Linked DNA regions of Elephas maximus indicus. The protein of the gene in region 2 binds, or shares a complex with, the protein of the main gene of each other region. Links are inferred from orthologs where the notes say so. Each region holds a gene or a part of one and is shown on either strand. Other genes may lie near its edges.

What was found. Proteins that work in one complex are often made in the same cells at the same time.
Region 1: PRPF6 (region 2) and USP39 share a complex: the UniProt entries of both Homo sapiens proteins name them as parts of the U4/U6-U5 tri-snRNP complex. The link is inferred for Elephas maximus indicus from reciprocal best matches to the Homo sapiens genes PRPF6 and USP39.
Region 3: PRPF6 (region 2) and LSM3 share a complex: the UniProt entries of both Homo sapiens proteins name them as parts of the U4/U6-U5 tri-snRNP complex. The link is inferred for Elephas maximus indicus from reciprocal best matches to the Homo sapiens genes PRPF6 and LSM3.

What each region holds. Positions count from the first base shown.
Region 1 is NC_064835.1:48,988,095-48,996,087, forward strand, and holds the start of USP39 (U4/U6.U5 tri-snRNP-associated protein 2), read right to left. Parts: upstream 3,021-7,993; 5' UTR 2,991-3,020; coding exon 2,723-2,990; intron 1-2,722. Other genes in the region: C17H2orf68 (UPF0561 protein C2orf68 homolog), read left to right, coding at 4,965-5,071, 5,152-5,638.
Region 2 is NC_064843.1:4,137,664-4,145,406, forward strand, and holds the start of PRPF6 (pre-mRNA-processing factor 6), read right to left. Parts: upstream 3,023-7,743; 5' UTR 2,932-3,022; coding exon 2,861-2,931; intron 1,091-2,860; coding exon 922-1,090; intron 1-921. Other genes in the region: SAMD10 (sterile alpha motif domain-containing protein 10), read left to right, coding at 4,605-4,695, 6,421-6,602, 6,678-6,849, 7,482-7,743. UniProt on the Homo sapiens protein: Involved in pre-mRNA splicing as component of the U4/U6-U5 tri-snRNP complex, one of the building blocks of the spliceosome.
Region 3 is NC_064838.1:39,858,244-39,865,434, forward strand, and holds the start of LSM3 (U6 snRNA-associated Sm-like protein LSm3), read right to left. Parts: upstream 3,021-7,191; 5' UTR 2,938-3,020; coding exon 2,917-2,937; intron 1-2,916. Other genes in the region: XPC (DNA repair protein complementing XP-C cells), read left to right, coding at 3,206-3,311. UniProt on the Homo sapiens protein: Plays a role in pre-mRNA splicing as component of the U4/U6-U5 tri-snRNP complex that is involved in spliceosome assembly, and as component of the precatalytic spliceosome (spliceosome B complex).

The DNA of each region.
Region 1 (7,993 bases), on a different chromosome or scaffold from region 2:
GTAAGACTCCACTTACATCAAGCACGAAACAAAACACTGTGCAACTTAATGGTACATATATGAGATAAAACTGTAAAGTAGAAAATAATGCAATGAAAATTCGAGACAGCAACTACTCAAGCAGGAAAGGAAGCAGATACAACCAGGAAGGGGCCTACAGGAGCTTCTAAGGTACTGGTACTTCTTAAGCTGAATGGTGTTAGGAGACAATTCTCTATGGGTCTCACTTTTCTGCACATCTTGTGACCAGAGGCACTGCCAGCCTCTGCTGCAGATCATCTTGTCAGGGATGTTGGTACAGTGAACAGCCTTGAAAGAGAGAAACAGTGTTTCCTTACAAAGTAAAGGCAAGGTTACTGTCCGTTATAAAAGATCCAGGTTCTCAAAGCTCAGGGTTCCTCTCCCGTGAGGCACCGTGTGTACAGGTGAACCAAGCCGCCCTGTGGGAACTGACTCAGGGAACTCACACAGATGCTGGTAGTCTCACCACTGCTACTGCTGTGAGTAATAAACTGTCCTTTGTCTTTGAACCAGGAGTTCCATATTTTTTATCAGCATCCATGAAACTGTGCCAGACTAACTTGTTAGCCTGCAAATAGGATAAAATCTTAGACCTTTCACAGTTCTTGGCAAGTGGTAGATTTATGGATATATATTCATGCTCATCTTTAAACGGTACCTGTTCACTGTAAATTCAGTCCATCTTAATGCCTGTGATATATTTCACAATTTTTTTTAAAGACATTAACAGTAACTGGAATCCTAATACGTCCACCAGAGAAAACAATCTCCTCACCACAATTATGCAAAATATCTCACAAACCATTTCCCTTGCCAGGAAGGGGATACCTGAGGCTGACACAGTTATTTAAGTAAAGGAAGTCAGAGAATACCCTGAAGTTATTATTCAAAGATAATCAAGCTCTTTCTATGAGCAGGAAGCCCTGGTGGCGTAGTGGTTAAGTACTACGGCTACTAACCAAGAGGTCGGCCGTTCGAATCTGCCAGGCGCTCCTTAGAAACCCTATGGGGCAGTTCTACTCTGTCCTATAGGGTCACCATGAATCGGAATCCATTCGAGGACACTGGGTTTGGTTTGGTTTTCTATGAGCAAGATGCTATACTAGACCCTGCGCATAAAACAAAAATATATCAAACAGATAACCTGACCAAGAAATTTAAGAGCAAATATTACAGTATAATCATATACAGATAACCAGTACCACAAGGTACAAGAGACCCCTCCAGACACCGCCCCCCTCCGCTAGCATGTAGATGAGTGATATACGCATCTGCCATTTCAATAGACTTCTACTAACTCACCAGAATACAAGTATACAGGAATATATTGAAGTCAAGAGTACAAAATTGGGAGAAGGAATAGAGGATGTAATTGGGTTGGACAGGAAAAGTTACAAAGGTGATAACCAGCTGCTGTGAAGTGGACTCCAACTCAGGGCAACCCCACATGTGTCCGAGTAGAACCGTGCTCCACATGGTTTTGAATGGCTGATTTTTCCGAAGTAGGCCACTGAGGCACTTCTGGGTGGACTCGAACCACCACCCTTTCAGTTAGCAGCCAAGCATTACCATTTCCACCACCCAGGGACTCCTCAGAGGTGGCAGGCACCTATTTGATGAGCGGTAGACTTTCAACAGGATTCCCTGAGTGGCACAAATGGTGAAGCACTTGACTACTAACAGGAAGATTGGTAGTCTGAGCCCACCAAGCAGTGCCTCAGGAGAAAGCCTGGTGATCTGCTTCTGAAAGGTCGCAGCCTAGAAAACCATACAGAGCAGGTCCCATCTGCACACATGGGGACGCCAGGAGTTGGAATCGACTCCATGACAACAACAGACTTTCAACAAGTAGGAAGAGAGAGCACTCTACACAGAAAACCAAGGCTGGGCGATGGTTCTCCAGATCTCACCCTCTCACAAGTACTAGGGGACACCGAAAGAGCCCAGAGGAAGGAGGCAAAGGGGGAATTCATGGAGGGAGTAACAGTTTCACTGGCAGGGCTACTTCCACTAATTTAGAGACAGACCAGAATATGAAACCCACCTGCCCAAACCAGAGTGACTCAATCTCAGAGGAAGGACCAGAATCCAGACCTCCTGACTGCTACACCCCAAAGGGATAACGGGGTAGTTTTATGCAGGTGCACAGCACTCAGGCTCTTAACTGAACGGTCTGATCCCAGAAATTACAGCAAAACTCACACACCTCAGCTTTGTTGTAAAAAGTGAAGGAGTTAACACCTGAGAAGTAATCAACCCAGTGCCGGACCCTCCATAGGGATTCAGTAAAGGCAGGCTGCTGTTAATATTAACAAAAATACTACAACTACAATTATTAATATTAGCGGTCCCTAAGTGGTGCAAACAGCTAAGCGCTCGGATACTAACCTAAAGGTTGTCGAGTGGAACCCACCCAGAGGCGGCTCAGAAGAAGGGCTTGGCGATATGCTTCCAAGAGGTCACAGGCTTAAAACCCTACAGAGTGCAGTTCTACCCTGCACACATGGGCTTGCCATGAGTCCCAATCAACTCGATGGCAACCATTCGGGTTTGGGCTTTTCATTACTAATACTAGTACTGTCCTCGTTGACATCTGGATTCCCCCACCCCCACTCCTTGCAGGGAAGTCTCAGAAAGTCGGAAAGAAAGGACGAGGAAGGGTGGAGCCCGGCCCAACCCGGCCCGGCCCGGCCCCGCGCACCTCGCACCTCCCGCTCAGGCTCCGAGTCCTCATCCGCCTCGCGCTCCCGCTTCACCCGCACCACTGGGTAGGCGGGCGCCGGGGCCTCGCGAGCGCTCGCAGGCTCTGCCTCCCGCTTCACGCGCACCGGGCTGCCCCGGGAGCTCGCCGCCTCGGGCTCCCGCTCCCGATCTCGCTCCCGCTTGACGCGACCCGAGCTGCTCCGGGACTCGGATTCGCGTTTCCCGCGGGCAGAACCACGAGACTCCCGCTTGGACCGGCTAGACATCGCCACTACCAGCCGACCCGCCCGCGCAGACGCCAAGCACGCTGGGAGTGCCCGTCACGCGGCCAATCAGGAGCGGCGCTGTTACCGAGCCCAGGGGACTCTACGAGTCGCTTATGGGGACAAATCGCGCCGCCGGAAACTTGCAGGAGTCATCGCGCTTTTAGCGTTTTGCTTGCCATTGCGAGCGCTCTTGAGAATGTTTTGCGGGCCTACAGCCACCTTACTCGTAATTTCCAGTTTCAAGAAGCAGGAACCCTTTATTGGCAATCGCGTTTCTGAATCAAAGAAGGTGTCATACGGCCCTAGATTTGTTCAAGATATTTGTGACTGAAAACCAGAATCGGGAGGCTGGCTCCCACGGTCTCGGGATGTCAGAGCCTGACGCTCCTGCGCAGTACAACTAGGCGACATCCCCTTTTTGCAGCACCCTGGTGGCCCCAATTCCGACAGCGTTGCTCTTAGTACCACCAAACCAAACCAAAAAAAAAAAAAAAAAGACAAACCAAACCCACTGTCGTCGAGTCGATTACAACTCACAGCGACCCCATAGGACAGAGTGGAACAGCCCCGCAGGGTTTCCAAGAAACAGCTGGTGAATTTGAACTGCCGAACTTTTTTTTTGGTTAGCAGCCGAACGCTTAACCACTACGTTGCCAGAGTTTCCCTTGGTACCACAGGAGTAAGCAAATGCCCAATCGGGGCAGATTTACCAAGAAGCTGGTAAAACTCAGGCTTCAGGGCCTGTCACCACCCCCTTCTAACCCCTGTACTAGTATGTTTCTTGTTTTAACAGCTCTGTATGGGGCGGTTCTACTGTGTCCTTTAGGGTCGCTATGAGTCAAAATCGACTGTACAGCAACGGGCTTGGTTTGGTTTCTTAATTGAGTTATAGGAGCCCTGGTAGCATAGTGGTTAAGAGATCGCTTCTAACCAAAAGGTCGGCAGTTCGAATCCACCAGCCTCTCCTTGGAAACCCCCTGGGGCAGTTCTATTCTGTCCTATATATAGGGTCATTATGAGTTGGAATGACTGGACTGCAACGGGTTTGGTTTTCCGATTACTGAGGTATAAGTGACATACAATGAACTGCACATGTTTAAAGCGTACAATCTGGTAAGCTTTGACAAATGTATACACCGGTGAAACCATCACTACAATTAAGATAATGAAGTGTCCCCCTGCCCCACCCATCCAGCTATAGACTAATTTGCATTTCCTAGAGTTTTAAATACACGGACCCTTACAGTACGTACTCTTTTTTTTGCGGGGTAGGGGGGCTGGTTTCTTTCACTCAGCATAATCATTTGGGGATTCTTCCACGTTGTTGGTTTATCAACAGTTCATTCCTCTTGATTGCTCAGTAGTATTCCATTGTGTTGATGTAACACAGTTGGCCCTATTTTAATCATAAATTCCTACCTTTTATCTTTTTTTCAAAAAGAGCTCGAAAATTATATAGGTCTGGCTGGCGGCACGTCTTCGCCCAGGCCGCCCAGCACTTTGCCTCCTACCAACCTAGCAGGCGCGTGCTATCCGTGTCCCCATTTACAAGTGCGGAGACTGAGGCACTGGGGGATTAGGTCACGCGGCTGGTGATGGAGGTTCACAGTATCCTATCACCAGAATAAAGACAGGAAGGCTCCACAAGGGACGTTGAGTAATACAATGGGTGATTTGTACTTTCCTGATGTATTTTGGCTTCTGAGCAGTAAGCCTAAGTCTTGTCTCGCATTGATAATGTTACAAAGGAAACAAACAGCCCGGTCAAGTGGCGGAAGCGCTTCCCTGGCCTCCCCACTCCGCCACTCCCTTGTCATTTCAGCGCGAGCAGCACTCGGCCTCCTTGGCCCGTCCGGGACCGGAAGTCACGACGCGGAGCCGGAAGTTGAGCTAAGGGAGAGGCGGGCCTCTTCCGACGGGAGGGCGGCCGTTGAGACCGTTGAGGCGGCTGCTGCTCCGCGAACAGGGCTTCAGATGGAGGCGGCGCCGGCTCCCGGGCCGGGGCTCTGCTGCAAGCCTGGCGGACGACTGGACATGAGCCACGGCTTCGTGCAGCACATCCGACGGAACCAGATCGCTCGGTATCGCCCCTCCCCGCGCCGGCGCCACCCCCTGCCTGGCCCAGCCGGGCCGCCCCTGACTCCCGCTCGGCTCCCCATAGGGACGACTACGACAAGAAGGTGAAGCAGGCAGCCAAGGAGAAGGCGAGGAGGCGGCACACGCCCGCGCCGACGCGGCCCCGCAAGCCCGATCTGCAGGTGTACCTGCCGCGACGCCGAGGTGAGGCCGCCCGCCCCGCCTGCCTCCTCCAGCCCGCGCGCCCTTCCGGCCCCGGGCCCTCTGCTGCGACGCACTCCCCTTCTCTGTATGGAAAAAAACCACTTCTCGTCCCCCGAGGCTCCGATCACGTCGCCCCTGCCCGGAACCTCTGCTTCAGCCGTCCCCCACCTCGGTTTAGTTATTCTCCCCGGGGAACAGGGAGGACTCATGGCCCCCACTTAAAAATCCCGATTGCTGTTACAGGAGATACTTGTAGCAAAAAGTTGTTTGTGGGTTTGCCCCGCCATACCGTACCTCTGTATCTGCAGTGCTTGGCGGAGGGGAAACCTGGCCCAGCTATAAGTGACCAGGACACAATTGTGGAATAAAACCCAAACCCAGTAAATGGATTTTTCCCTAGCTTCACTGGGATCTAGAGATCAGAGTAACTAACAGTGCAATAGTGCCTTTACCTTTTCCATACGCTAACTTATTTAGTGTTCGTAGGATCCCGTAAGATGGAAATGATTATCACATCTGTTTCACAAGTGAGGAAACTGGGCACAGGGAAGTTAAGTAACTTGCCTGAAATCTGAGAGCTACTAAATGGCAGAGCCTGGATTTGAACCCAGGCAGTGGCTCCAGAGACTGTTCTATCCACTCCTCCAATACCTTCCAATCCTATTCACCAGACAAACAGGCATTGTATACCTACTATGTGAAAGGACTGTGCTGGGTTCCCAGCAATGATATAAAGGTAAATAAAACTGCTTCTAATTGGTAGCACACCACACACACATACACACAATTCAGGGCCCATAAGAAGATTGGGACTTTGTTTTCCTGCGTCATCTCTGTGTGCAAGGGCTCCAACTGCCTCCCTCTCTTCCCTCTCACTTTGGTTCATCCCTCCAGATGGTTCTACTCACACAGGCAACCCAGACTATGAGGAGTCCGGTGACAGCAACAGTAGTGGTGGATCTGAGCTGGAGCCTTCTGGCCATCAGCTTTTCTGCTTAGAATATGAGGCGGACAGCGGAGAGGTCACGTCAGTTATCGTGTATCAGGTACGCCTCCTGTGGAAACAGCTGCAGCCTAAAGGCCCTGGGCCATGGTAGGCGTTACTGCCAGACCCTGAGCTGCTGTCTGACTCAGGGCCAGTGGGAAGAGTGCATTCCACGTGGGAGCATAGGACTATTGGGCAATGCTTTACAAACACGACTCCCTCCCATCTCACAGTGATTTTCAGAAGGGAACAGGGAAGGCTCGTGCCCCCAGTTGAGAATCACTATTACAGGGGATAATCTGGGAAATGACAGAGCCAGCAGGAAGCCGTGAGCCAAACGGAGTTCTGTGAGAGCATTGTCTGGGGATGGGGCAGGCTGCCTTTCCAGAAGAGGCCAGGCCCTGAGCTTCCTGACTCTTCCTCCACGTAGGACGATGACCCCGGAAGGGTGAGTGAGGAGGTGTCAGCACACACGCCTCTGGATCCACCCATGCGAGAGGCCCTCAAATTGCGCATCCAGGAGGAGATTGCAAAGCGACAGAGCCGACACTGAGGGGTTGAAGGCATTGTCTCCAGGCTGGGTTTACTGCATTCAAAGGAGTTCTGTCCACGGAGCTCACTCCTAGCTTGAGGGTGCCAGGACCATTTGCTGATCTTAAGAGCCCTCCCCAGAGCTGCTGCATCTATCCACAGGAGAAGGATGTTGTAGGACTGCCTGCCTCTGTTGCAGCCATTCCTTTACTGTATGTTGACCCATTTGACCAGCCTGATAGTCTGGAATTTCTTGAGAATTTTGTTTGACTAGCTTGGTGTTCTGGAAGCAGAGACTCCGGGAGGAGTTGGGGTCACAAAGCCTTGCGCCATCATGCTGCTTTCACTGCGGTCATGTGCCACCGGACACTTGGCCAATGCTGTTTCACCCAGCTCTACACCCACGTTTGTAATTTTATGGTTCCTTCCTTTTGCCTTTCTGCTCACTTCCATCGAATGCCATGTTTCCTAGGTCTTCTTTTCAGCTCTATTTCTTCATTCTTTTTTCCCATCCATTTGCCTTAGGTAGAGTCCATCAGTTGCCCCTCCACTCCCATTCTCATGTGACTGCCTCTGGATGCCGGTACTATGGGAGCCTCACTGAAGTTGTAGGCAGTGGTCTGTGCCCCTCCAACTGCTCAGCACCTTGGAGGTGGGGGGTCCTGGGGATGGATCTACCTTTCTAAAAAGCTCTCCAGGTAATTCTGTTACCAGCAAAGTGGGAGGCCCTTCATTTTGGGGGTGTATCTGCAAGCACGTCTCCGTCTTCCATGGCCTTTGCAAGTTCCTCACATGCACCACTACCTTGTACTGTCTAATAGGAGACTTAGGAAGAAGATACCGGAACTTAACTGCAATGATTTCTTGTAGCAAAACTGGCCTTGGTTAGGGCTATGGAATTCCAGCTTTTACCTCATCCCTAGTTGTCTCTCCTCTGTTCAGACTAAAGAAATTATCAAAGCAAGCTTGAAACTGACTCTCCAAAAGTGACTTAACAGTCTTGAACAAATCCACAAAGGGGATTTCAACATGAGTAAGAAGTCCTGAATGATGCCCCAAAGGGAGTGAAGTGAGTCTCTTGTCTGCCCCTCCCCTGCCACACGCGTTCCCATCTCCTGTCTTCCTGACCTCCTTGGAATAAAGCTCCTCAGGAATATCACTCTTTTCACCTAGTGGACATGTTTCCTAATGCAGGGTTAAGCCAAGG
Region 2 (7,743 bases):
AAACAAATCTGTCTTGGAAGCAGCACAGCCAGGATGCTCCTCAGAAGCAAGGATGGCAAGACTTTGTCACATATTTTGGACATGTTATCAGAAGGGATCAGTTCCTGGAGAAGGATATCATGCTTGGCAAAGTAGAGGGTCAGCAAAAAAGAAGACCCTCAAGGAGATGGACTGACATGGTGGCTGCAGCAGTGGCACAGTGTTGTTCTGTTGTAGAGTCACTATGGTGGGAACTGACTCAACAGCACCTAACAACAACAACATGCGAGTGTTTGGGATGCAGAAAAGTCCTGGGTCATTGTCATGGATTGACCCTCATCTGTCCCTCAAACATGTGTGTCAACTTGGCTAGGCCATGGTTGTCCTCCATTTTGTGTAACTATCCTGTGTATTGTAAATCCTAATCTCTGCTTGTGGTTAACAAGGCAAGACTAGGTTATGTTAAAGAGAATAAGCGTGGGATGCAACACCCTTACTCAGGTCATAGCCGTGATCCTATGTAAGGCGAGCTTTCCTGGTGTGTGGCTTACATCGCCTTCTATCTTACAAGAGATGAAAGGAGAGAGAAGCGAGCAGAGAAAGGGGACTCGATTACCACCAAGAAAGAAGAACCAGGAGCAGAGTATGTCCTTTGGACCTGCGGTCCCTGCACGGAGATCCTCCCAGACCCATGGTAAGACTGATGCCAAGACACATGTAGATTCCCAAGGAACACAAGGTCCACAAATGTTGAAACGAGGACCTCGCCCCAGAGCTGACAGAGGGAAAAAGCCTTCCTCTAGAACTGGAGCCCTAAATTCAGAAATCTAGTCTCCTGAACTGTGAAAGAAGTTCCTGTTTGTTAAAGCCAAAAAAACAGAAGCTGTCCAGCCCTTCCCTTCAGGGACTGGCCAGGGAGCCACAGAAGACACCACACATTACCTCATCATAGTTGGTGTCATTCAGGTCCTCGTCATCGTCATCTGCAGCCTGGTTTTTCTTCATCTGGTCCCCAACGGTCCTCTTGCCTGGTGGAGCATGGCGGTCATCCACAGGGTCATTCGCATCCCGGGCAGGGCCAATGTCCGACCGGGTGGTAAAACCAGTGGCACTGCAGGAGACCCCAGGACATCCATATGGATTCCACCCCCTGCCACATCTGGGTGACCCTGTTCCTGTGTTTTCCTCTCCAACCTCGACCATCGCTTAATAACACCCCTCTAACACCTCAGAAACCTCTGAAAGACCCTGGGGTGGTAAGCTAAGCATGGCCACTTGCAAACACACTGGTGTGCTCATTCCTCTAGGCAATGACCCCTCTAACCTACCCTGGGCGCCACCAAGGAGACCTCTTCTCACCCAAGCCTTCCCTGCACAGGACATCATGGCCTCCCACCTCCCAAATTCTAGCCTCATGTTTCCAACACCCCGCTGATCATCTCCACCTCCACTCCAATCAGTCTCTCAAACCCTACTTGGCCAAGACTGCACTCCTCTCCTGCTCCAGGTACCCTAGTTCAGCTGAAGGCAGCACATGGCATCAACTCTGCCTCCCTCCCTCCCTCCTTCCCCAGCCCCATCCAATCTGCTCCAAGTTCTTTTGATTCTACATCTGAAATCTCTCCTCCTCAGATTGTATGGCCCCCAATATAGCTGGATGCCAAGTTAGCCACCCCTGCCTGTAGCCTTCCCTTGCTCTACCCGATTCATCCAGGCTTCAACACAAGATGACATGTCACTGTCTTTCCAATGCTGACACAAGCTCTAACCTAATGTGCAATGCTCCACTGGCCCCTCCAGCTGCCTTCTACTCACTGCACATTCCACTCATATGGGACTCCATGCTGTTCCGTCTCCCTCCAAGCCACTCCTGTTTTTCACTAACCACATACAGAATGTCAGTCTCCTCTACCCCTGCCATGTTTCTGCATCTCTAAACCTGACCCTCCTCCTAAATCTGGATCAAAGGCTTCTCAACCTGTTCCTCTTTATGTGGTTATTTATGCAAATACCTCACCTTCCCTAGTGAAGGCAGCTCCTCTGTACAGGGGGTCAACATCTGAGTCTTGCGTGTACCCCACAGATTCTTAGTACTCACAAGAGAGAAACGCAGTAGTTTTCCAAACCAAATGAATATCCAAACAAATAGGATAATGACTGCTCAGTTATTCAACAACCTAGGGTGGCCATCTGTGTTGCAGGTGTGGGAGACCAATCACAAAGTTCATAGATGCCATTCCAGCCCCTGTGGAGCTGACATTCTGAACAAGCAGCTTATGATGGCAGATACTAAAGAGAAAGAATGGAACACTAGGAGTGGCCACAACAGAGGGACCTAACCAGCCCGGGCGCTGAGGAAAGGCAAGACAAGCTGGAGGAGTGGGCCTGCCCCGTCTGGGGAAGCCGGTCCTGGAATTCCCACTACATGTCAGGGATTCATCTATCACAGCGGATCTCAAGCGGGCATTATCTATCGCCCACTGGAGAGACGCAAAAAAGGGCTCAGATATGTACCTAAACCCAGAAACACTCTACTAAGTAGTAGGCAGGTTGACAGACAGGTCTGTCCTGACTCCAAAGCCCCTTGCCTCCCACAGGGCTTAGGCCAAACCACCTAGTATCTCTCAGAGCCTCATTTACTATTGTCTGTCTTCCCCGTCGCGATCCACGGGATGCCCTAGGTCCTGCTGCCTCCAGGTAGAAGTGCGGGCAGAGTCAGGGCGGGCCTCCAGCGTCGACCAGGCAAGCAGAGCCGCGGACGGAACCGGGCCGGGCCAGAGGGAGCAGCCCCTACGCCCGACCCCGGCCCGGAATCCCCTCCCGGAGCGCGCGTCCCGCCCCGCCCGCCCGGCCTCTGCTGGCCCCGCGACCCAGGCCTCACCCGCGGCCCAGCCCCGGCACATAGCCGAGCGGCGCGGGCATGCCCAGGAACGGCTTCTTCTTCTTGTTCATGGCCGCGGTAACGCCAAAGACCGGGAAGAGAAGAAGTGAGGCCGCAACCGCAGCGAAAAAGCAGAGACCCAACTGCCTGGGCGCAGGAAGAGGACGCGGCCCCACGTCACTCGCGCCCCGGAAGCAGAGTGCGCCATCCAAGCGAAGCCCCGCCCCTCAGGCTCCCCGGCCGGAAGTTCCGGAAACGCTGCTTCGACGACTTCCGGCCGCGGCTGTAGCACTGGGGGGCCGGCAGGCGCTTGTGCGGGAGCGCCAGCTTGTGGCGAGGTGGGAGGTGCCCGGCCGGCCCGAGGTGTCAAAGGGCAACACCAGCCTGTGTAAACCCGCGGAACCCCAAAACTGAGCCTATGGCCTTTACGCTTCCCGAGTGTTTGCTCTGTGCGGTGCCCGAGGAGACCTGCCCGAGGGCCCGGACCGTGTGGTCTCCTCCCTCTGACCCGACCCAGCAGCCCTTCCGAGTGGCCCTGGCAGGGCTGACCACCTGAGCGGGGCGTGCGCAGCTGCGCAGGGTTGTGTTGTGATGGGGACACCCTGTGTGCACACTCTCGCCCCTGCACCTTGGCGCCAGATTCCTCGGCCCCAGTTTGACCAGTCCCTGGTGGTCAGCAAAGCGCCCCACACCCCTCCCCACACCCCCCAGGCCCTGGATACTCTAGCGAGGGCGCGGCAGCTCCTGGCACAAGAGACCCCTGAATGCAGTCTAATTCACAAGAACAGATACATACCGTGGATGGTCGCATGAGCATACGTGTGCGGGCTCCAGGCACGCGAGTGAATTCTATGAGAGCATTTGTTCATGTGTGTTGTGGGGCCTTTGTCCAGGTCAGACTTCGTGTGCATGCACGTATTTACACGAACATGCGAGACCAGGCTTCTGGTGGACCGCACCAGCCTTTCCCTGCTCCCAGCCTGCCCATCACTTCTCACTGGGGGTCCCTCCCACCTGCTACAGCCTTCCTTGGCGTCCCTCCCCACACCAGACCCATTCCCCCCTCAGTTACTGCGTCTCATATAACGTCCAAGCCTGAGCCAGATTCTGGGGCTACTGAGGGAAGGGGAAAGACGCTGGGTCCTCGAAAGACGCTGGGTCCTCAGAGCGCCTTGTGGTTAGGGAAGCGCAGGCCAAGTTGGCATCTCTGAGGAAGCAGGTGCATATTGAAGCGAGGCCCGGGGAGAGGTCCGTAGAACTGTGCTGAAGGGCTAAGCGAGTAAGCCTGTGAGGGAGGAGGGGAGGCGTGGCTGGGAGGGCTCCGTGGGGAGAAGCCCCCAGAGGGATGTACAAGGCCCCCCCCACACACACAGGGGGACCGACATGTCTTCACGTACCCCACCCAGAGGCCCCTGCAGACGCCCGCCCCCAGCAGGTGCACAGGGACACGCGTCCCCGGAGCCGTGCCCAGGTGCGCACGGTTGCCCCTGGCCCCGGCTGACCACCTCTGCACATGTAGACCGGCGCGCGCGCCGCCACACCTCGGAGCTCCTGGAGCGCGCCCGGCGGAGAGGGCTTGGCGGGCAGGTGCCTCGCCGCGCAGACTCGCCGGACGCGGGGACCGGCTGGGCAGCGGGGACCGGCGCGGGGCGGGGCGGGGCGGTGGCGCGCGATCCCCCGTGCCACACGGCCCCCCTGCGCTCGGCGAGGGGCGTGTGAATACGGCCCGGGACCGCGGGGACCCATGTTCACCGAGCTGAGGTCCAAGCTGAGCCCCCCGCGAGGCCGCGCCGGGGCCGTGCGCGCCGGCTTCGGGGAGCGCCGGGATGTGGACGGTGAGCAGGGCCGCTGCGGGCCAGGCGGGGACCAAAGGGGGGAAGGCGGTTCTGGCCGAACGGAGTCCCTGTGGCCTTTGTCCTGCGCGGGAGGGGAAGGGAACGGCCGGCCTCAGGCCTTGGGGGTCAGCGCGCCTTTGGCTTGGTGGTGGTCCAGCCGGCGCTCCTGTCCTCGGACTGGCACCGCACTGGGGTCACCTTTTTCTTCGCTCACAGAAAACTCTCCCGAGCCCAGGCAGCCGGGCCGAGAGCAGGATGAGGCCATGGCCTGGCTCGGTCCCCTCCCTCGCCCCCTCCCCGCCCCATTTCCTGCGGGAATTCTGACATTGGGCTAGGAGGGACAGACCAACGGACCGGCAGACGGATTGACTGACGGGAGCCCCCTCCAGGACGCGAGCAGGAAATGGGCGGGGCCGGCGGGCCGGGGCAGGTGCGCGCGGGCGGAGGCGGCCGACGGTCGTACTAGATCCTAGGGAGCGCCCCAGCGTGCCGCCCAGCAAGAGCCAGACCCCAGTGCCTCTCCTGGAGGGGCCGGGCGCAGAACACGTCCTTCCCACGTTACTAGAAGCCACTCTGGGGCTATGGTTACACTAGCCACACTCTGTGTCCACTCCTAGACCTCAACTTTAGTCACCTGGGCCCATCTGATCCCTGAAAGTTGCAGGAAGCCCCCTGTGTGGGGAAGGGGGAGCCAAGGATAGGATGTGAGTTTCCCGTATTCCTGAGACCTCCTGGTTAAGACCTGGGGGGCGGAGGCTGTGGGAGCGAGGGTCTCACATTCTACTGCTGGGGGGCTTCTCCGCAGAATCTACCTTGCTCTGCTGGGTCAGGACCAGCGCTGTAAAAGTGGGGCAAGTCTGTACCCCACCCTCCACATCTCTCCCAGACCCCACACAAAGCCTCCATCCATTCATTCACTTATTCACTCACCCCCTGTGGGCCAGGCCGCCTGCTGGGAACAGAGATCCCCCTGAGTGGGAGGGGTACCATCCAGGTGTCTGACTTCCCTGAGCTCTCCTCTTGGCAATGATTCCAGAAATTATTGGGGAACTAAAACCTGGTGAGTGTAATCCAGTTGGTGTGGAAAGAGGGCTGATATGCATCCTACACACCTGTGCCAAGCAGCACATGCCCCTGGCACCCACCACAAACCGGTGCTGTGCGGTCCTAGGGGTCCATGGGAAGTGGGGAACAGCCCATGCAAAGATGGCCCAGCAAGAAAGCCCAGAATGTGTTTGGGGCCTGCCCAGGTTCAGGCTCCTTGTTAGTGAGTCACAGTTGGCCAACCAAAGCAGGGGCATTGCCTGGGGGAGGCTCCTGGATGCCTGGGGCCAGCCTCTCCTCAAAGGCTAGCCTGCGTGTACACCAGCATTGTGGGGCCTGTGTGTGGCAGGTGTGCCAGCCCAAGGTGGGAGGCAGGTGTGCCAGCCCAGGATGGACCCTCCCCTAGCAGGAAGCCTTGAGCTTCAGGGAGCACACTTGTGCTCTAGTCTGTCCTGCTCCCCCTGTGTGGGCCATGGGATTGGAAGGGGACTGTGTCTCTAGTTCCTCGTCTTTGACCTGCTCGGTTCCCCGGACAGCTCCAGTACCCTTCCTCCTGCCTTTGGGGTCTTGGGAACCCATTGATGAAGGAGTGGAGGTAGGGCTGGGCAGGGAACTGGCTCATGGCGAAGGGGCCTCCGGGCTTCTCCCTCACCGTTTGCTGACCACACCCGTGCACCCCAGCCACTGCCCACTTCAGCTTCTGCCGGACCCTCCTGGAGCACACGGTATCTGCTGAGAGCATCCCCTGCCACCTGCCCCGGACACCAGGCACCAGCCTCACATGGCATGATGCCCAAAGCCAGAGGGCAGCCAGCGGCAGGCCAGTCAAGCTCCTGCAGCAGCCGGGCTCCGAGCCCCCCCAGGTATGCCTGCCCACCCCTCCCTCAGCCCCACCCTCCCTGTCCCACCCCCTCAATGTTACCTGCCCCCCACCACAGGGCCGGCTGTACTCTGATCATTGTGGCCTGTACCACATGAGCCACTCGCTGGGTGGCCTGACTCGGCCTGTGGTCCTGTGGAGTCAGCAGGATGTGTGCAAGTGGCTCAAGAAGCACTGTCCCCACCACTACCTCATCTACGTCGAGGCCTTCTCCCAGCATGCCATCACTGGTACGAGGTGGGGAAGGGGTAGCCATGGAAGGGGGGGCTCAGCCGGGGGTCGGGGGGGGAAGGGTAAGCAGAGGGAATTTATCCAGGGGGACACCCACCACAAACCGGATCAGTGGGGGGGTCAGCAGTGACAAGGGTCAGTGGGGGGGGAAGGGGAGGCTCAGAGGGGAGGCAGTGGGGAATGGTAAATTCATGGAAGGGTCAATGGGAGAGGGTCAGTGGAGGACTGTGGGGGGGTCCCCAAGTCAGCCTCCTCCCGCCACATGCAACCTGTCCTGGCTCCATCTCTCTTCTCTTTCTGAGTCGGCCTCTCCTGGGTCTTTGTGTCTTTCTGCACAATCTCCTTCGTTGGCTTCCTCAGTCCCTGTTTCTGTCCCTCTGGCCATTCTTTGTTCTGTTCCCATCTTTTGCCCTCCATCCTGGTCCCTCCCTCTTGCTCTCTTGCTCTTTCCTTATCTCTGAGTTTTTGCTTTTCTGTCTTTGTCTCTTCCTTTCTCTGCCTATGTCTCTGCTTTATCTCTTTCCTTCTATATAGGTCTCTCTCCTCCTATGTCTTTGTCTGTCTGTCTGTCTCTCCCCAGTTCTCAGTGGCCCGTGCTGACCTTGGCTCCTGCTCCCTCTCCCACCCCTAGGCCGGGCGCTGCTGCGGCTGAACGCAGAGAAGCTACAGAGGATGGGGCTGGTGCAGGAGGCACAGCGGCAGGAGGTGCTGCAGCAGGTGCTGCGTCTGCAGGTGCAAGAGGAGGGGCGGAGCCTGCAGCTGCTCAGCCAAGGTCAGTGGGGGCCGAGGCTGAGGGACACAGCAGATAATGCCAGGGCTGCCCCCTTGGTACTCCCACTTCTCCCTCATCCCTGCCCACCCCACAGCCTCCTTCAGAAATGTGTCCTAGCTGC
Region 3 (7,191 bases), on a different chromosome or scaffold from region 2:
ATTGTTACAACACTGATGATGACTTCATTGTAATATTCTTCCGTGTACCTGGAACACTGAATCTTCTTGGGAGGAAGTTACGGGAAAACGCATGCAGGGGATTTGGAAAAAAATGCTGGGTTATGTGAACACGCTCCAAGCATTTGATTGGGATAATATGATGGAAAAGATCGGTGGGAAAATCGTCCATATGGCAAGAACTCTGAATTTAGAACTTGATATCACTGATGTGGAACAGCTCATAGGCCAGAAAGAAGGGGAACTGACAGGTCAGGACTTAATGGGTTTTGAAGGAGAAAGAAATACTGAAGAAGAAAGAAATGAGGAACAGGAATGAGAGAAGTTGTCAAAAAATTTTACAGGGAAAGGATTAGCTAAAGTTTTTTCTAAACTAAATCAGGGGCTTCAGTTGCTTGAAAACATGGACCCAAATGCCGATCACCTTGCTAAAGTCGACAGGGAGATTTGGGAAACAGTGAGATGTAACCATGAGGGAAAAAAAAAAAAGGCCCATAGAAATAACTCTCACTAATTTCCTGACTAAAAATGCTATCACCATTTCCAGGGGTAATGCAAATGATCCAGAACCTTCCACAAGTGGAGTTATTACTCCAACTGACAAAATGCCAATCTGTCCAACTCTTCTTCACTGTTGGAGTAAATTTTTATGATCTGTGTGTTTTTTATATATGTATTAAAATACATATGTAATATGTAATGTTTTCAACCCCCAAAGACAAATAAAGATTGGATTTATAAAGATATTGACAATAAAAGGCAATAATGATGAAAACTAAAAAATAAAGAAGTATTCAACTTACCTCAGAACCAACTTACAATGGAGTTGTCAGAACAGAACCCCATTGTAAGTTGGGGACTACCTGTATATGAAGTACCTGACACATTAAAAAAAAAACAAAGCTCATGATGAGAACTGTAAGAGTTTCAATGGCTGATTTTTTTTTGAAGTAGATCACCAGGTCTTTCTTTTAAGGTGCCACTGGGTGGACTCAAACCTCCAGCCTTTCGGTTAGCAGTCAAGGGTGTTAACTGTTTGCACCACCCAGTGCTGTGTAACAAGGGATAAAAGACGCATACATCCAAAAAAAACCCACAAAAACCCCACTGCCGTTGAGTTGATTTCGACTCATAGTGACCCCATAGGGCTTCCAAGGCTGGAAATCTTTACAGAAACATACTTCCACACCTTTGTCCCACAGAGCCGCTGGCAGTTTTGAACCACCGACCTTTCAGTCAGCAGTTGATTGCTTTAACTGCTGTCCCACCAGGGTTCCTTGACGTACACACAGGGAGGAATTACACAACAGAATAATCATGACTGTACTGATTAACTTTGCTCCCTCAAAACCTAAAATATTTGACTCAGTTTAAGGGTATAAGGAGTCACTCTCAAGGAACTTATCTCCATTGTCATTAATCATTTGAAAAATGTTCATTTAATGCCTACCACACACCAGTCAGAATGCTAAGGAAATGAAGGTCTGAGAAAAGCACAGAAATGATAAATAACACTATAAGAATATACACATGACAGAGTCCCACTGCTATTTCCACCACAGTCTGGGAAGCTCCTTCTTTCATGTCGTACACTTATTGACATGGTTAGGTTCCAAAAACCAGGTCGTTATATGAAAATGGAGGATAACCACAAAAGATCACAAAATCGAGGATGGGTACATCATTACATAACTGCCAAATTACATCATTACGTAACTGCCAAATCACTAAGAATCATGGCATAGCCAAGTTGACACACAACCTTAACCATCACGGCCTGCGTTACTCTCATCTCACATCTTCACATGCATTACTGCCAGACGTACATCGTTAATGCACAAAATAGTCGGCTGGTTTTGCTATTGTCATAAATGCGAAACGTCACATGATAAGAGAGTATATAAGTGAGGAGTGAGGAGTAGATTTAGTCTTTCCTGTTATCCAGTTCTCTCACTCAATAAATACTTGTTGAGTGTTTCCAGCACGGTTCTAAACCCTAAGGATAGAATAGCGAACAAAACCAAAGCTCTGCTCTCATGAACATATATTCTAGTGGGGGGAGGCGGACATTAAACAAAGAAGTACATATTTAATATGAAAAAATATGCTATGAAGAAAAAAAGCAGGGTACGCAGACTGGGGGGCAGGGGAAGAGGGAGAATTTTATGTAGGTGGCCAGGGAAGGCCTCTTTGATGAGATGAAATCTGAATAAAAAGCTGAAGAAGTTGTGGCTTGATCCACAAAGATATCTGAGGAAGAACATTTCTGGTAAGAGGGAAGGGCAGCCTGTAGGACCATCTATTACTCTGCATCTTAGTTCCTTGCTTGTTTCCTTCACACCACATCATACTTCCTATATATCTCATATTTATGTTTACTTTTTCATTACAAGTCATCCAATAGACTATAAGCTCCAAGTGGGGGCAGAGATCACATACGTCAACGGTGGCGTCCTTGGTGTCTGGAACAGTGTATCTGTTGACTGAATGAATCATTGTTACGCTCAGTACCAATAATAAATAACTCCTAAACTTCATTACCACGCTTTCCACGCTTTCTATCAGAATCCCGACAGCTCCAGGAAGCGGCCAGAGATAATTACTCCCATTCCACAGATAAGGGTGAGACTCAGAGAAGGAAGTGACGAGAGTGGGGAATAACTAGTGGCAACGCGGGCTTCAAAAAGGAAAATACCTTAAGGGCTGAGGCAAAACTCATAGGGGGAGCATTTACCGAGGGGATGGGGTCAGATTAGGCCGTGGTAACCTGGAAAGAGACGGCACGATAGGCCCCTTTCCCGAGACCTTGGAGAAAGCAACGCAGTTACGCGAAGCCTAACAGGGCCTGCGCTGAGAGTGCAAAGCCGCCCTGAAGGGAGCACCTTAGAACACACTCACCTGGTCGACGTCGTCCGCCATGTTTCAAACCCTGCGCCCTTTCCCTCCTCTCGCGAGAACATGCCTAGCATCCGGCGCCCGTGAACGGGAGGACGCAAAGCACCGGAAGTAGACAGATCAGTATTGTTCCTTCTTCGTGCAGTTCACTTTGGCCATTCGGAGCTGGGGCGGAGCTTGTCCAAGCCGGAGGGGGTGTGGCCATCCCCGCCCCGCTCAGGGGCGGAGCTCGCGCGCAGGCTGGTTTCCGCGGCCGGATGCGTCACTCGCGTGCAGAATCTCACCGGGAGCTATGGGTCGGAGACGTGCTGTCGGCGGGGAGCCGCGGCGACGCCAGCCACGCGGACGGAACGCTGAAGACCGGAACCCGGCCCGGCGTGAGGAGGAGGAGGAGGCAGGTGAGAGCGAGGCCGACAGGGCCGAGGGGTGAGATGCTGAGGGCGGGCGGGAGGCAGGCCCGCGAGCGGATGCGTGAGACGGTGTTACTTAACGATCGGCTAGGGAGGCAGGCGGAGCCCTGCCGGGCCGTTATGTAACTGGTCCGGCCCTCCCCGACTTCCCTGCGCCTTTGTCCTCCACACCACGAGTGTAATGTGTCCCGAGCCATCCCCCTGGAGACCTACCTGACCACGAGCTCACCTGCATAATCTCCTTCCTGCTCCCTGTTACCCACAGGATAAAACCGAGTGTTACCTGTCTCATCGCAGATGCTCAAGGCTGAATGGGGAAGAGACGTTGCAGTGTTTTGCATGTCCCCAGAAGACGGACCAGGGCGTAGAATTACTTTAGTGTGCTGACTCCCAGAGTAATATCTTCAGCTAAGTCTTACCCAGAGTTCCAGTCTAGGCTCTGACTCTATTTCTTTATGGAGCTCTTGCATATGAATTGGCTTCTTATATTTATCACAGGTAAAGCAAAGCTCTTCCATTTCCCCTTTAAACTTGTTCCTTCCCCAGTTTTTCTCATCTCAGTAAGTAAGCCCTTCAGCCACTTGTTAAAGCAAAATCCTCCTTTCCTGCCTTTTCCTTATGTACACAACATTGCAATCCATCAGCGAGTCTTGTCAATTCAACCTCAGAAATAGATCTCATACCTGACTGCTTCTTTTAATTTTCGTCACCACAGCCCTTGTGCAAACCACCATCACTTTCAGTTAAATGACTGCACTTGTCTCTTTCCTGGTCTCCCTCTTTGCCTCATTCCCCTGCAGTGGGTTCTCCACTCAGCAGACTCAGATCATGCTACTTCAAACTCCAGGGCTTCACATTGTTATTAGCATAAAATCCAAATTCCTTACCATGACTTACAAGATCCTGCATGATTTGGCTACTGCTGCCTCTCCTACCACTGTTTTCCTTGCCAGATATGCTTCTTACTGGCCTCCTTTCTGTTCCTCAAACTTGCCAAATTATTTCTCACCTTGAGCCCTTGCCTTTAATGTTCCTTCTGCCTAGAATGTCCTTCCTGGCTCTTGCCATGGCTGATTTCGTCCATCCCTTTAGGTCTCAACCCAGAGCTTTCTGTCTAAGGTGGACGTCCCCAAGTACTCTATCATACCCAGTGCCGTTGAGTCGATTCTGACTCATAGTGACCCTACAGGACAGAGTAGAACTGCCCCATAGAGTTTCCAAGAAGCGCCTGGCAGATTCGAACTGCTAGTGCCCCAATTATTGCCCTCATAAGTCTTATCGTCTGTAATGCTCTTGTTAATTTATTGTTTCTTTTGCCTGTCTCACCAGAATTTAAGTTCCATGAACACGTGTCACTTTTTGTTGTATCCCATTTTTGTCTTCCCCTCATCCCCACATATAGGAAGTGCTCAATAGATATTTTGAGTAATTGCCGAATGCGTGCTCAAGGAGGGATTTCTGGGGTTCCAGAAATAACTGGGTAGAAGATTTGTTTAGGTAACCAGTAAGAGTTCCTGTAACACTAGATTCTATGATTTTGTACATATTATAAGTTCATCACCCATTAGGAAGGAGTCAAGTGGTAATAATTCCTAAACTTAGGCGATGATTTACCTTATATTTAAATAATAATGTGAGTTCCTTTGTATTCATTCATTTACTCATGTGTTCATTGAAGTGAAATTTTTTTGAGTACCTACTATGTGCTGTACATGATGAGCTAGGTGACATGAGAGATAGAGATTTCCTGGGGGAGCTTAGAGTATACTAGTGTTGATGTGACATTTGCACATAAAATATCTAAGGTGAGGTATATTAAACATCATGGGAGAAGGTACAAAAGCCTTTGTGGCTTCCAAAGGAATAATCAAGTTTGACTGGAGAAATTGTGAAATGCTCTCTGAAGGAGTTATGTTTGATCTTTGACTTTAAGGATGGATAATCTTAGCAAGCAGCCTTGAAAGCCAGTGGATGTTCTAGTCAGAGGGAATGTATTCTGAATGTTACAGTTGAAAACTTACAGGTTTTAATAGGATGGAAATGTTTCCTTTCTGGGTAGTATTCATCCCAGCTCAACACTTACCCTGGGAGCCAGCTTGATATAGCTCTAACACAGTGGTTATGTGCACGTGTGTAAATTATTTTAGGCAAATAATTTAACCTTTCTGAAGCTCATCTGTGAAACAATCTTACCTTGCAGGGTGATTGTGAATGTTCATAGTGATAGCATATAAAGCTTCTGGCCTGGCACCTGGTCCCAAGTTAGAGCTAGCTAATATCATTCAGCTTAAACGTAGGTGTCTTAGCCTCAGTTCTCTAGAGGAGCAAAACCAATGAAGTATACATAAAGATACATAGAGAGAGAAATTTTACTTCAAGGAAATTGTTCACACAGTTGCTGAGGCTGGTAAGACCCACATCCATAGGTCAGGCAGCAGGCTGAAGACCTCTGCTGGTTCACGTGGTTGCAGGAGCTGATGAACCCAAAATGTGCAGGTCAGGCAGCAGGCCAGAGACTCCTGCACGCTTGAGTCCCAAGAACTGGAGGTCAGGAGATGAGAAGAGTCCAAGTTGAGAAAGAGAGGGAGCTTTTCCAGAATATCCTTTTATATACCAGAGGCAAGCTGCACCCCCAAGGGGACTCCCCTTTCGACTGATTGGCTGCTCACATCAAATCATAAAATAGAAGGTAATTATATAGTGTCTGCCAAACCACTGAGAATTAGCCTAACCAAGTTGACACATAACATTAACCATCACAGTAGCTAAGGATACCCCCAGGCTTCACTCAGACTTTGCCAGCCAGCAGAGTTAAAACAAGTTTCCAAGGCAGCTTCCGGGATCTGAAGAGTTATAATCTTTGCTGTGGTTCAGTGGAGGGGCACAGACTTAGCAATTGTGGTTTGGGCTGCAGGTGACACTGCCGATGACTCTTCAGTGTAGAAATTCTTATAGAACTCTCGGTTTTAACAGCATGCAAATGAAAGTGACACTTGGTTGCTTGCGGCAGTTAGGAACAAAGAAAACAGTCTTCCACATTATTTGTTTATATTGGGGCACCTCTGATTTCTTCATAATTCTTTCATTGATGTAATTCATTAATTCCTTCAACAAATATTAACTGAGCATCTACTATTTCCAGGCACTATTCTGTGTGCTGAAAGTGAAAAAGACAGACAAGGTCCCTGCTCTCATAATGCTTATATTCTTTTGGGAGGGGTGGGTAAGGTAGACAACAAGTTAAAAAAAAATTCACATGGCAATAAGAGCTATGAAGAAAATAAAACAGGATGCTGTAATAAAGCTGATAGAGATAGCTAATAGGATGAGTAGCCAGGGAATGCCGCTAAGGAGTGATATTTTGAGCCAATTATTGGATATTGTGAAGGAGCCATTCATAGGAAGTCGTGGGGAGAAAGAGTTCTCCAGAGTAAACAGTAGGTTCAAAGGTTCTTAGTGTATCGATTATATCTGACAGTCTAGGAGCCCTGATCATCAAAGACAAAGTTGAGGAGTCGGACTGAGCGGCAGAGGGAGGGAGAGAAAATTCAGAAGCAGGGTGCCAGTCTTGAGCTAGCCAGCACCCTGCAGGCTGGTTCAGCTGGTGCACGTGGCCATAGACCTGTGTGAGCCAATTCAACAGCATAGGTCCTCGTTAGCATAGGGATATATTCCTAAAGTCTATTTTCAGCTGCAGCAGCCAAGGGGGAGTTGCAGGTTCGTGATATTTGACACTGCCCTGCCCATTAAGCAGGGTCCTTACCCATCCACATCAGGGGCCTGAGGACTGGCAGTTTCACTCATTCCACCTAGTCACCCATGACAGGGGTCCAAGAATAAGTGGTGCCTCTCAGATCTTAAGCCAACA